Linked DNA regions of Rattus norvegicus. The protein of the gene in region 2 purifies or fractionates together with the protein of the main gene of each other region. This does not show direct contact. Links are inferred from orthologs where the notes say so. Each region holds a gene or a part of one and is shown on either strand. Other genes may lie near its edges. The genes, in order: Asf1b and Cdan1.

Evidence for each region.
Region 1: the proteins of Cdan1 (region 2) and Asf1b purify together in Homo sapiens (co-immunoprecipitation; 5 studies listed by BioGRID and IntAct, counting the BioPlex papers as one, with this or other methods). This does not show direct contact. The link is inferred for Rattus norvegicus from reciprocal best matches to the Homo sapiens genes CDAN1 and ASF1B.

What each region holds. Positions count from the first base shown.
Region 1 is NC_086037.1:41,097,333-41,101,606, forward strand, and holds the start of Asf1b (histone chaperone ASF1B), read right to left. Parts: upstream 3,021-4,274; 5' UTR 2,857-3,020; coding exon 2,748-2,856; intron 1,885-2,747; exon of another isoform or gene 1,752-1,884; intron 1-1,751. UniProt on the Homo sapiens protein: Histone chaperone that facilitates histone deposition and histone exchange and removal during nucleosome assembly and disassembly. Cooperates with chromatin assembly factor 1 (CAF-1) to promote replication-dependent chromatin assembly.
Region 2 is NC_086021.1:128,140,554-128,145,154, forward strand, and holds the start of Cdan1 (codanin-1), read right to left. Parts: upstream 2,968-4,601; 5' UTR 2,923-2,967; coding exon 2,833-2,922; exon of another isoform or gene 2,618-2,832; coding exon 2,133-2,617; exon of another isoform or gene 1,943-2,132; coding exon 1,736-1,942; exon of another isoform or gene 1,539-1,735; coding exon 1,369-1,538; exon of another isoform or gene 1,241-1,368; coding exon 1,127-1,240; exon of another isoform or gene 1,048-1,126; coding exon 969-1,047; exon of another isoform or gene 95-968; coding exon 1-94. UniProt on the Homo sapiens protein: May act as a negative regulator of ASF1 in chromatin assembly.

The DNA.
Region 1 (4,274 bases), on a different chromosome or scaffold from region 2:
CATAGTGGTTCACAATGGTCTCTAATTCCAGTTCAGGTCATCTGACGCCTTCTTCTGCAGGCACTGGGTGCACATGTGGTACATGTACATGCATGCTGACAAAATACACATGAGCAAACAAAAAAGATATACAAGTAAATGTTTTCTTCCTTTTTTAGGACTGAAGGAAAGCAAAGGAATCTGGGAGCTGGCTAGAGGTCTGGGCAGATAGTGTTTCCCATGAAAACCTAAATTCAGGGTGCTGGAGAGAAGTTCAGGGTTAGAATCTAGTATTGATCTTAAAGACCCAGGTTTGATTCCCAACACCCATGTCAGGAGTCTCAAACCAGCTAAAGAGGATCAGATGTCTCTGCCTTCCAGAGGCTCCCATGCATATGCCACCTCCAACATAGACACAAAAATTAAAAGAGAAGGAACGCACATGTGGTGGTGCACACCTTTTTAATCCCAGCACTGGGAAGGCAGAGACAAACAGATCTTTGACTTCAAGGCCAGCCTTGTCTACAGAGTAAGCTCTAGGCCAGCAGAACTATATAGAAACCTTGTTTCAAAAAACAAAAGGAGAAAACATCATTACTTAGGAGGATAAAATGGTGGATCCCTGGCTTACTAGACAGGTCAACTAGCAATATTGGAGCTCCAGATTTTATAGAGACACTTTCTAAAATAGGCAGGACAAGATAGAGACAGCCCATGGGTTAAGAGCATTGGCTGCTCTCCTAGAGGCCAGGTAAGATTCCTAACACCTACATGGAAACTCACAAGCCTGTAACTCCAGTTCTAGGACACCCAACTCCTTCTTTTGAACTATGTGGGTATCAGGCACTCAAGTGGTGGCATAAATACATGTAGGCAAAACATACACACACAAAAATAAATAAAATAAGGTGGAAAGCAATTGAGAAAGACCACTTGAAGTTTCTCTGGCCCACACCCACAGACAAATTAAAACTAAAAGATAAAATTTAAAAACAATCTGGACTCAGAACTCTGAGACAAACTTCAATGATAATGCTTCTACTATCTGGCTGACTTGGAAAAAATCACCCTGCTCCCATTAAAACATGACCAGCAGGCTAACTCTAGCCTTGTTCTGATTCTATAAATAAAGAATAAAAGTATCACTAGGCAATGACCATGCAACCATTTTTAAATGCAAGGAGCACAGACAGGCTGATTGAAACCTGATCTCTCAGCATCTGGGAACTGTGAATCCTTTAATCTATCAGCTCCTTATATCTCCTCTTGGCTTCCAAATAACTCTTATTCCACATCGTTACTCTACCTTTTATTTATTTATTTACACCCTGCCTTGTTCCAGCAAGGGTTTAACCCAGCTTATTCTATAGTGAGTCATAAGTAGATTCGTTTAAACTTAAAAAAGGGTAAGAAACTAGGGAGAGGCCAAGCCGCTGGCCCACTCCAAGCACACACATCCAAGTGAACAGGAGTGGCTGGCCCTGCCTGAATACCACTCAACAGCCACCAAGGGGCACTGGTTGCCACAACCTAGCCTCTCAGAGCTCTACCTCCTCAGCTGCTACATCCTTTTCAGCACTCAAAATGGTCTCCTGTTGTCCTATGTATGAGCGTCCCCAGAGGAGAGATAGGGGCTTCTGACTCCAGTCTTTGTAGGTTTGGTCTCCCCAGCTCCTGGTCTGGGTGAATGTACTCAGGTGAGGGTGCCACAGCCAGGCAGCCCTCTTCCAGTTTCTGAGATTTCTACTGGCTTACCTGAAAGCTGGACTTACCTCAAAGTGACCTCACATTTTACATGTTCACAGATTTATTTGAAAGGTCTTTTGCTCTTGATGGCTCTTGTCCTCTTATCTATGAGATGAGAGCCATGTCCACCTTTATGTCCCACAGATGAATTAAGTCATTCTGTGAAAGATCCACAAAAGCCAGTGTCCTCCCAGCTGATGAAAGTTCCATCCCATCCCTGTTTGGCCAGTCCACCCACTCCCCAGATGAGATCAGCCCATCAGAAGGGATGAGGGATTCCTTGCACTGAGTTAGCTGGAAGCCAGTAGAAATATCAGAAACTGGAAGAGGGCTGCCTGGCTGTGGCACCCTCACCTGAGTACATTCACCCAGACCAGGAGCTGGGGAGACCAAACCTACAAAGACTGGAGTCAGAAGCCCCTATCTCTCCTCTGGGGACGCTCATACATAGGATTTGGGACTAACCTAAAGAAAGAAGCCCTGGTATAGACAACACCATGCCGTTACAGTTGGCAAACAGGAGTTACTGGGGACAAATCTGGAGTTGTCTGGGGTGTTGCTGGGAGTCATGGGATGGAGGAGGTCTTGTCATGGGCAGACAGGGTAACAAAAGAGGAGGGTCTGGTTAGTTTGCAGGAAAAGGTATGCACAAGGAAAATGAGGGGACGGTACTGGAGGTTGGGTTCCCATAGGATAGATAGGTTTCCTATGGGGAAGGCATAAAACCGGGGTCTAGCCATAGGGAAGGCTTGGCTGATGGGTCTCCATGAACCCAATGGAGGCTGACACCTCTACAAGGAAAACGTGCAAGGACAAGCGGTGCAAGACGAGGGGTGACGAGGCCTCCACGAGACAATGCGGACTGTATAGAGTCGTATCCACCGAGGGGTCCGAGTTGGGCCATGGAGGCGTATTACTAATGGGAGATTCAGTTGGCCCAGGGGAGAGGTTCCCAGGGAGACTGGGAGTGGCACAAACGAGGGCAGGAGGGTTCGGGGTCCCCTGCACAGGCCCAGTCTCACCGTCAGACAGGGCCTCACTGCATTCGAAGCTGATCTCAAACCGGAAGGGGCTGTGGAAAGGGCTCGGGTTCTCCAGCACAGCCACATTCAGCACCGACACCTTGGCCATCACCTCGCCTGGGAGCCGCAGGTACTGTGGAGCCTTCTTCCGTGACTTGCTACAGAGAAGAAGGGGGTCGGCAGGACAGAAAGCTCGCACTGATTCCCAACTCTTCTTTCCGAAGAGCTTCTCCCGTAAGCGCGCTCCCTTCAAATAGCCGGCTCCGCCCTCCAGCCAATCGCCGCTAAGGATCTATGACGGCGCGAGCCGTCAGCCAATCCTGGGGCGTCTTCCGGCGCGCGCCTGGACCAACAGACCAATCAGAGACGCTCCCTCTTCACGGTCTACAGGAGGCGGAACGATAATCTCTTAGCTTCGTAAAGGTCTATCGGGAACCAATCCCTAGAGTCTCCGACTCGAATAGCTTGTACGGGTGGGCGGAGTTAGAGCGCGGAACTTCTCTTGTCCAATCCCAAGGGTTACCGCACCAGCATGACCCTCCCCTCGTTCCGCTTTTCCGGTAGACGCACCTCACAGAGAGCAGCGCCACCAACGGCCGAACGGTGGCGCGCGACTCTCACTAAAACGCGCAGAGGGGGACGGTACTTGCACTCCCAGTGATTGACTGTCGATAGAGGGCGGGGCATAGTGGGTTTCTGAGATGTGATTGGCTAATGTGGTGGGCATGAGGAAAGCTGGGCTGGAGCGCTGTGGAAATCGCACGCCCTCACAGTGAAAAGCATTAAGGAGGAAAAAGTGACTTAGGCCTTTAGGCGGCTGTCAGCAGGTGAGCGTTTTCGGGGACTACCCTGAGGGGTTCCTGCCTTTGTAAAAGACCGTTGAGAACCTTTGGATCACCCCGAGACAAAATGGCGCAGCGATGACGATGATGATGATGATGATGATGATGGTGGTGGTGGTGGTGGTGTGTGTGTGTGTGTGTGTGTCTGGGCTTGGTGGCACAGGCCTTTTATCCCAGCACACAGAAAGCAGAGGCAGGTAGGCCTTTGAGGCCCCTTCTAGGACAGCCAGGGCTACACAGAGACACCCTGTCTCCAATCACATTTATTTACTAGTTATTTTATAAGTACACTGCAGGTGTCTTCAGACACACCAGAAGAGGGCATCAGATCCCCCTTACAGATGGTTGTGAGCCACCATGTGGTTGCTGGGAATTGAATTCAGGACCTCTGGAAGAGCAGTCAGTGCTCTTTTTTTTTTTTTTTTTTTTTTTCTTTTTCTTTTTCATTTATTATATATGAGTACACTGTAGCTGTCTTCAGATACACCAGAAGAGGGAATCGGATCTCTTTACAGATGGTTGTGAGCCACCATGTGGTTGCTGGGAATTGAACTCATGACCTCTGGAAGAGCAGTCGGGTGCTCTTAACCACTGAGCCATCTCTCCAGCTGCCCCCCCATCACATTTTTTAAAGATTAAAAACAAAAAGAAGAGGTAGATGCATGCCATTAATCTCAGGACTCAA
Region 2 (4,601 bases):
TCGAAGGCGGCCTTGCAGAGCTGGTGAGAAGCACAGCAGCCGCTCATTCTCGGCCAGCAGCTTTAAGGTCCCTTTATCCAGGTAGGAGAGAACCCTGCAGGGACAGGTGTGCACATGACTGAGATGAGCACGCTGGCTGCAGACACAAAATCCATCTGAAGCATAAGGCACTGTGTAAGCCTAGATACGTATGGCAAGGTCAGGGGCTAAGAATCAAGATGATAAAAGTAAAGGGTGAAGACATGAGACTTCATGGAGCTGAGAGCAAGAAAGCAGGCTAGGAACATCAGCTATGAACTTTATAAAGGTAAGCTGTCGGGTTGGGGATTTAGCTCAGTGGTACAGTGCTTGCCTAGGAAGCGCAAGGCCCTGGGTTCGGTCCCCAGCTCCGAAAAAAAGAAAAGAAAAAAAAAATAAAGGTAAGCTGTCACGTATTGTTGTTATTGTAGTACACGGGGCTCTCTATATGGCCAGCAAGCACTCCAGTGGTCTATATACTTAGGCCTTTTTGTATTTATTATTTGGGAATACCATTCAATATGTTTCAAAGGCTGGCTTTGAATTTTCTGCAGCCCGGGCAGGTCTTTAAACTTGCAATCCTTGCTTAGCACCAGACCCAGTCATTTAATTTTTTTAAAGGATAAACTCATAGCCTTGATACAAAATTAAATGTTTCAGATGGGCCAGGAATGTTAGCGCATGCTTTTATTTCCAGAACTTTGGATAGACAGGCTGGCTAATCTATGCAGGTTTGAGCCCATCTTGTTCTACATAGGGAGTTCAAGGCCAGCAAGGGCTACATAGTATCACCCTGACTAAAAAAAAAAACAACAACAATCTCCTTCCCCTCAACAAAAGGTGCCAGGTGGAAAGGTCTAGGGCAACTGTATCTATTAAGCAAAGTCATGCATCCTACATGGCTAGAAACAGACAGATAAGACCCAAATGCCTCAGCTAGAAAAACTCACTGAAATTGATGCTCCAAAACCTGCACTGCAAAGAAGACACAATCATGGATGCTCCGAAACAGGGGAGTTTCCAGGGAATCTAGGCCAATAACAAACGGTTAGTTAAGAACTAACCCACCTGCAAACATCATTTCTTGAAATTAGACTTGCTTACTGACCTAGGGCACCCTGACTCGATTCAAGGTCACTGTCCTTGGTGGCCGCCATTCTCCGGGCAGTAAGGAGCTGAAGGACGAAGAAAAGCTCCAGGAAAAGGTTTGGTACTAGGTTCTCTGGATATAACGAGAAATGCCATACCATTGCGCACTACTGACAACCAGGCCAAGGCTCTGTATGCTTCATCCCCTCTTACTCTGTAGTTTGCATGCATATCCACCGCTGTCCCTTTGAGCTCACTCACCAGCAATACATGAGGAGTAGATGAGGGCTACCAGCTCGAGGCGCTGTCGAGAAGACACTCTGGCTGGGTCAGCAGGCTCTGCTGTGAGGTTTCCTGTTCTGTTGGGAACGGGAGACCCCGAGTCTGGGGCAGGGCAGGCCGGGGTAGGTGACTGCTGGAGCTGCTTGGATCTATGTGAACAAGAGAGATGTCATGATTACTCAGCCTGGCTTTCCAGTGACATTCACTTTCAGGTTCTGCCAGAGAAGACATCAATAGCCCAGAAAGCAAACCCAGAATCCGGAAGGGAGAAATCAAGTTCGGGAAAAATCCCCGCAAGTCCCGCACAAGGAGGAAGCTGATATCCCAGGTGGCGGCAAAGCCATACCGCGCCTTCCTGAGCATCTCCCGCTCCTCTTGCAGACTTCTGCACCCTGGGGGAAGGCCAAGGCCCCAAGGGCTAGTGTCCAGGGCTGAGGGTTGGGAACTGGGGACACAGCTGATTGGGGGTGAGGTGAAGCAGGTCTTGGGCTTGGACAGTGACCGCTCTTCGCTCACCGGAGTTGGGTTGATCCTTCGAGAAGGCTTCGTCCTGCTGAGAGTAGTCAGTTTTTTTTTTTTTTTCAAATTTCTATCTTCAAGTATCATCCATAACAGTTGGGGTCCCTTAAAACCCTCCCCCCTTTGTGGTTTCTTCGCCCTCAACCTTCTAACCATCGCGCATTCTACTGTGGGGCACCCAGCTCTGCTTTAGCGATTATCTTGCAATAAGGACCGATCCTCACCCTGCAGAGCCGGGCGGAACGGTGCCTACAGGAGGGAACTCCTCCAAGTTGCTGAGGTTTGGCGGATCTGAGAGCGACAGTCTGGGGCTGCCAGGGCTGCCTGAGCCCTTAGGCTTCCGGCCTCCGGCCCAAGGCGGGCTCTCGCTGCTGGCCCCCTCCTCGGGGCCCCCGGATCCCCGACCACCTCGTTCGCGGGACGGTCCCGGACCCCGCCTGCGGCCCGCACGGCGGGCCAGAGGTGCCTCGGCGGAGGTGCTGAGGGGCTCGGTTGCAGGGAAAAGCTGGCTGCGCGCCCCACGGCCACCCCGTGGCGGGGCCCCCTGCCTCGCTGGCAAGGCGGCCGAGGCGCCTGGGGTCTTGGCGGGGGTGGAGGGGCCCTGTGGGAGGACCCGGCTGCTCTGCTCCCTCAGGAAGTTCAGCAGGAACGGCACGAATTCCTTCCGCAGAGGCCGAAGTGCGCTCAGAGCAGCCACTTCGGAGCTATCCTGAGGAAGAAGCAGAGGTCGCGGGGCGAGAGGGTCAGCTGACAGCGCGGGCCTCCAGCGGCTCAGGCCGCAGGGTGGGCGGCCCGGCAGCGGCTGGCAGAGAAGCGCCCTTGGCGCGGGCCGACAGCCAGGGCAGGCTGGGAGAAGGGACTGAAGCAGCATCCCCCGCGGGAAGCACATTCCAGGCAGGTTTGAGGGCGTGTCCGCACTGTTACCTCCGAACTCGGGGTGCTGCGCGCGATCCACCGCACGGCGGCTGCGACCGGCACCTCTTCGCGCAGCAGCGACTCTAAAACGGCCGCCATCCCTGTCCAGGCGCTCTGAGGCTACTGCGCAGGCGCACACGCGCCACAGGCAGCCGGGAGGGGCGGAGCCAGCGGCCGGGGCGACCGTTGGACGACGGGGCGGGTCCTTGTGGGGTGGGGCTCAGGCGGTCCGGGAAGATCTGTCCAACCAGCTAGGCCTGCAGGGCGCCGAGGCGCCTTTCCCTGACTGCTTGGCCGCTGGAGCAATGTGATGAGATGGAACTGCGGCGAGCTCTGTGGAGACCCGGCTCCGAAAGAGAGGCCAGACAGGAAAAGTAACCAACTCTAAAAGACACCAGCCTATCAGACCAGACATCTGCCATAAACACAGCCTCAGACCACCGACTGTAGAGCTTTTTGAGTCACTCCCTCCTCAACCAAAATAAAGTGAGTAACCTTCTGTTCTGACCTTTTTGTTTTTCGAGACATGGTTTCTCTGGATAGCTTGGTCACTCTGTAGACCAGGCTGGCTTAGAACTAATAGATTAGCTTGCCTTTGCTCCCGAATGCTGGGATTAAAGGGGGTACGCCCGGCCTGCTTAGCTTTTTTCCCCCTTTACTCAAAGGCTGACTTTTTACCATTGGCCAATCTTTCCAATTGACAATTGAGGACAGAGTTCCTGCTGAGGCATCTTATAAAACTTATCAGATCATAAACCATTGAGGGTCCTTAGGAATTGTTCTAAGGACTTGTATTTAGTCCTTTACGCATTAAGGAGTTTATATCGGGTATTTCAACCTCATATTTAAGAGGTCAATATTCATAATTAGCTTCTGGAAGAGTAAGGCATTTCTGGACACACTCCCCCCCCCCATCCTACACACACAAACACACACAGGCACACACACATACACTCGTGCCCGATACACCTCCTGTAGGTCCCTTATTTTGAAAAATACAAGAGGCTTTCCGATGTTGCTCCTTGGTTAAAAAAACTCAAGATAGGGGATCTCATTGAACAGTTTCCGTCAAAGGGAAGCAGCACTGTATTAATATGCCCTGTGTTCCTCTCATTCCAAGGAAGAGCACTTGGCGATAAGCAGTAGATGCAGCAGGAATCCCTCTAGTATATCAGGGATGTTTGCTGAAGAGAAGAAAAGGAAGTTTTAAAAACTTAATTCTGTGCTGGGTTTAGTGGATGCTTGCAATTCCAGTACTTGGCAAAGACAGAATATCAGGTTCAAAGCCAGGTTGAACACAACACCTTCAGACCCCTAAACCCTGGTTTTCACCTAGCTTCTATTCAGTTAGCCCAAATGTCCTTCTCTTGGTTGTTTACTAGTCACTTCTGGTGTGGTGAATCTAACACTTTAGTAGTTTAGGAAATATTTTTCACTTTTTGAAATCCAAACCATGACACAAATAGCACTGAAGTTTGCATGCGGACTGAATGTTTTATTACTAGATTATAAAAATAAAATACAAAATAATTTTAAAACAGAACTTAAAACACTGTACAAAGCTTTAATATGGTACAAATGGGAAAATTAAATAAATAATTACACTTTTATGTACAGATGGCCTATACAAAAGCACTGCATGTTTTTCAATACTCTATGCCAGTGGTTGCCTGAGCAAAGACACATAAAGGGAAGATGCTGGAAGGAGAAAGGATACAATGTGATACATTGAAAAGAGCAATTTTTCATCTTGCTAAGAGGAGGACAGTAAAACATTG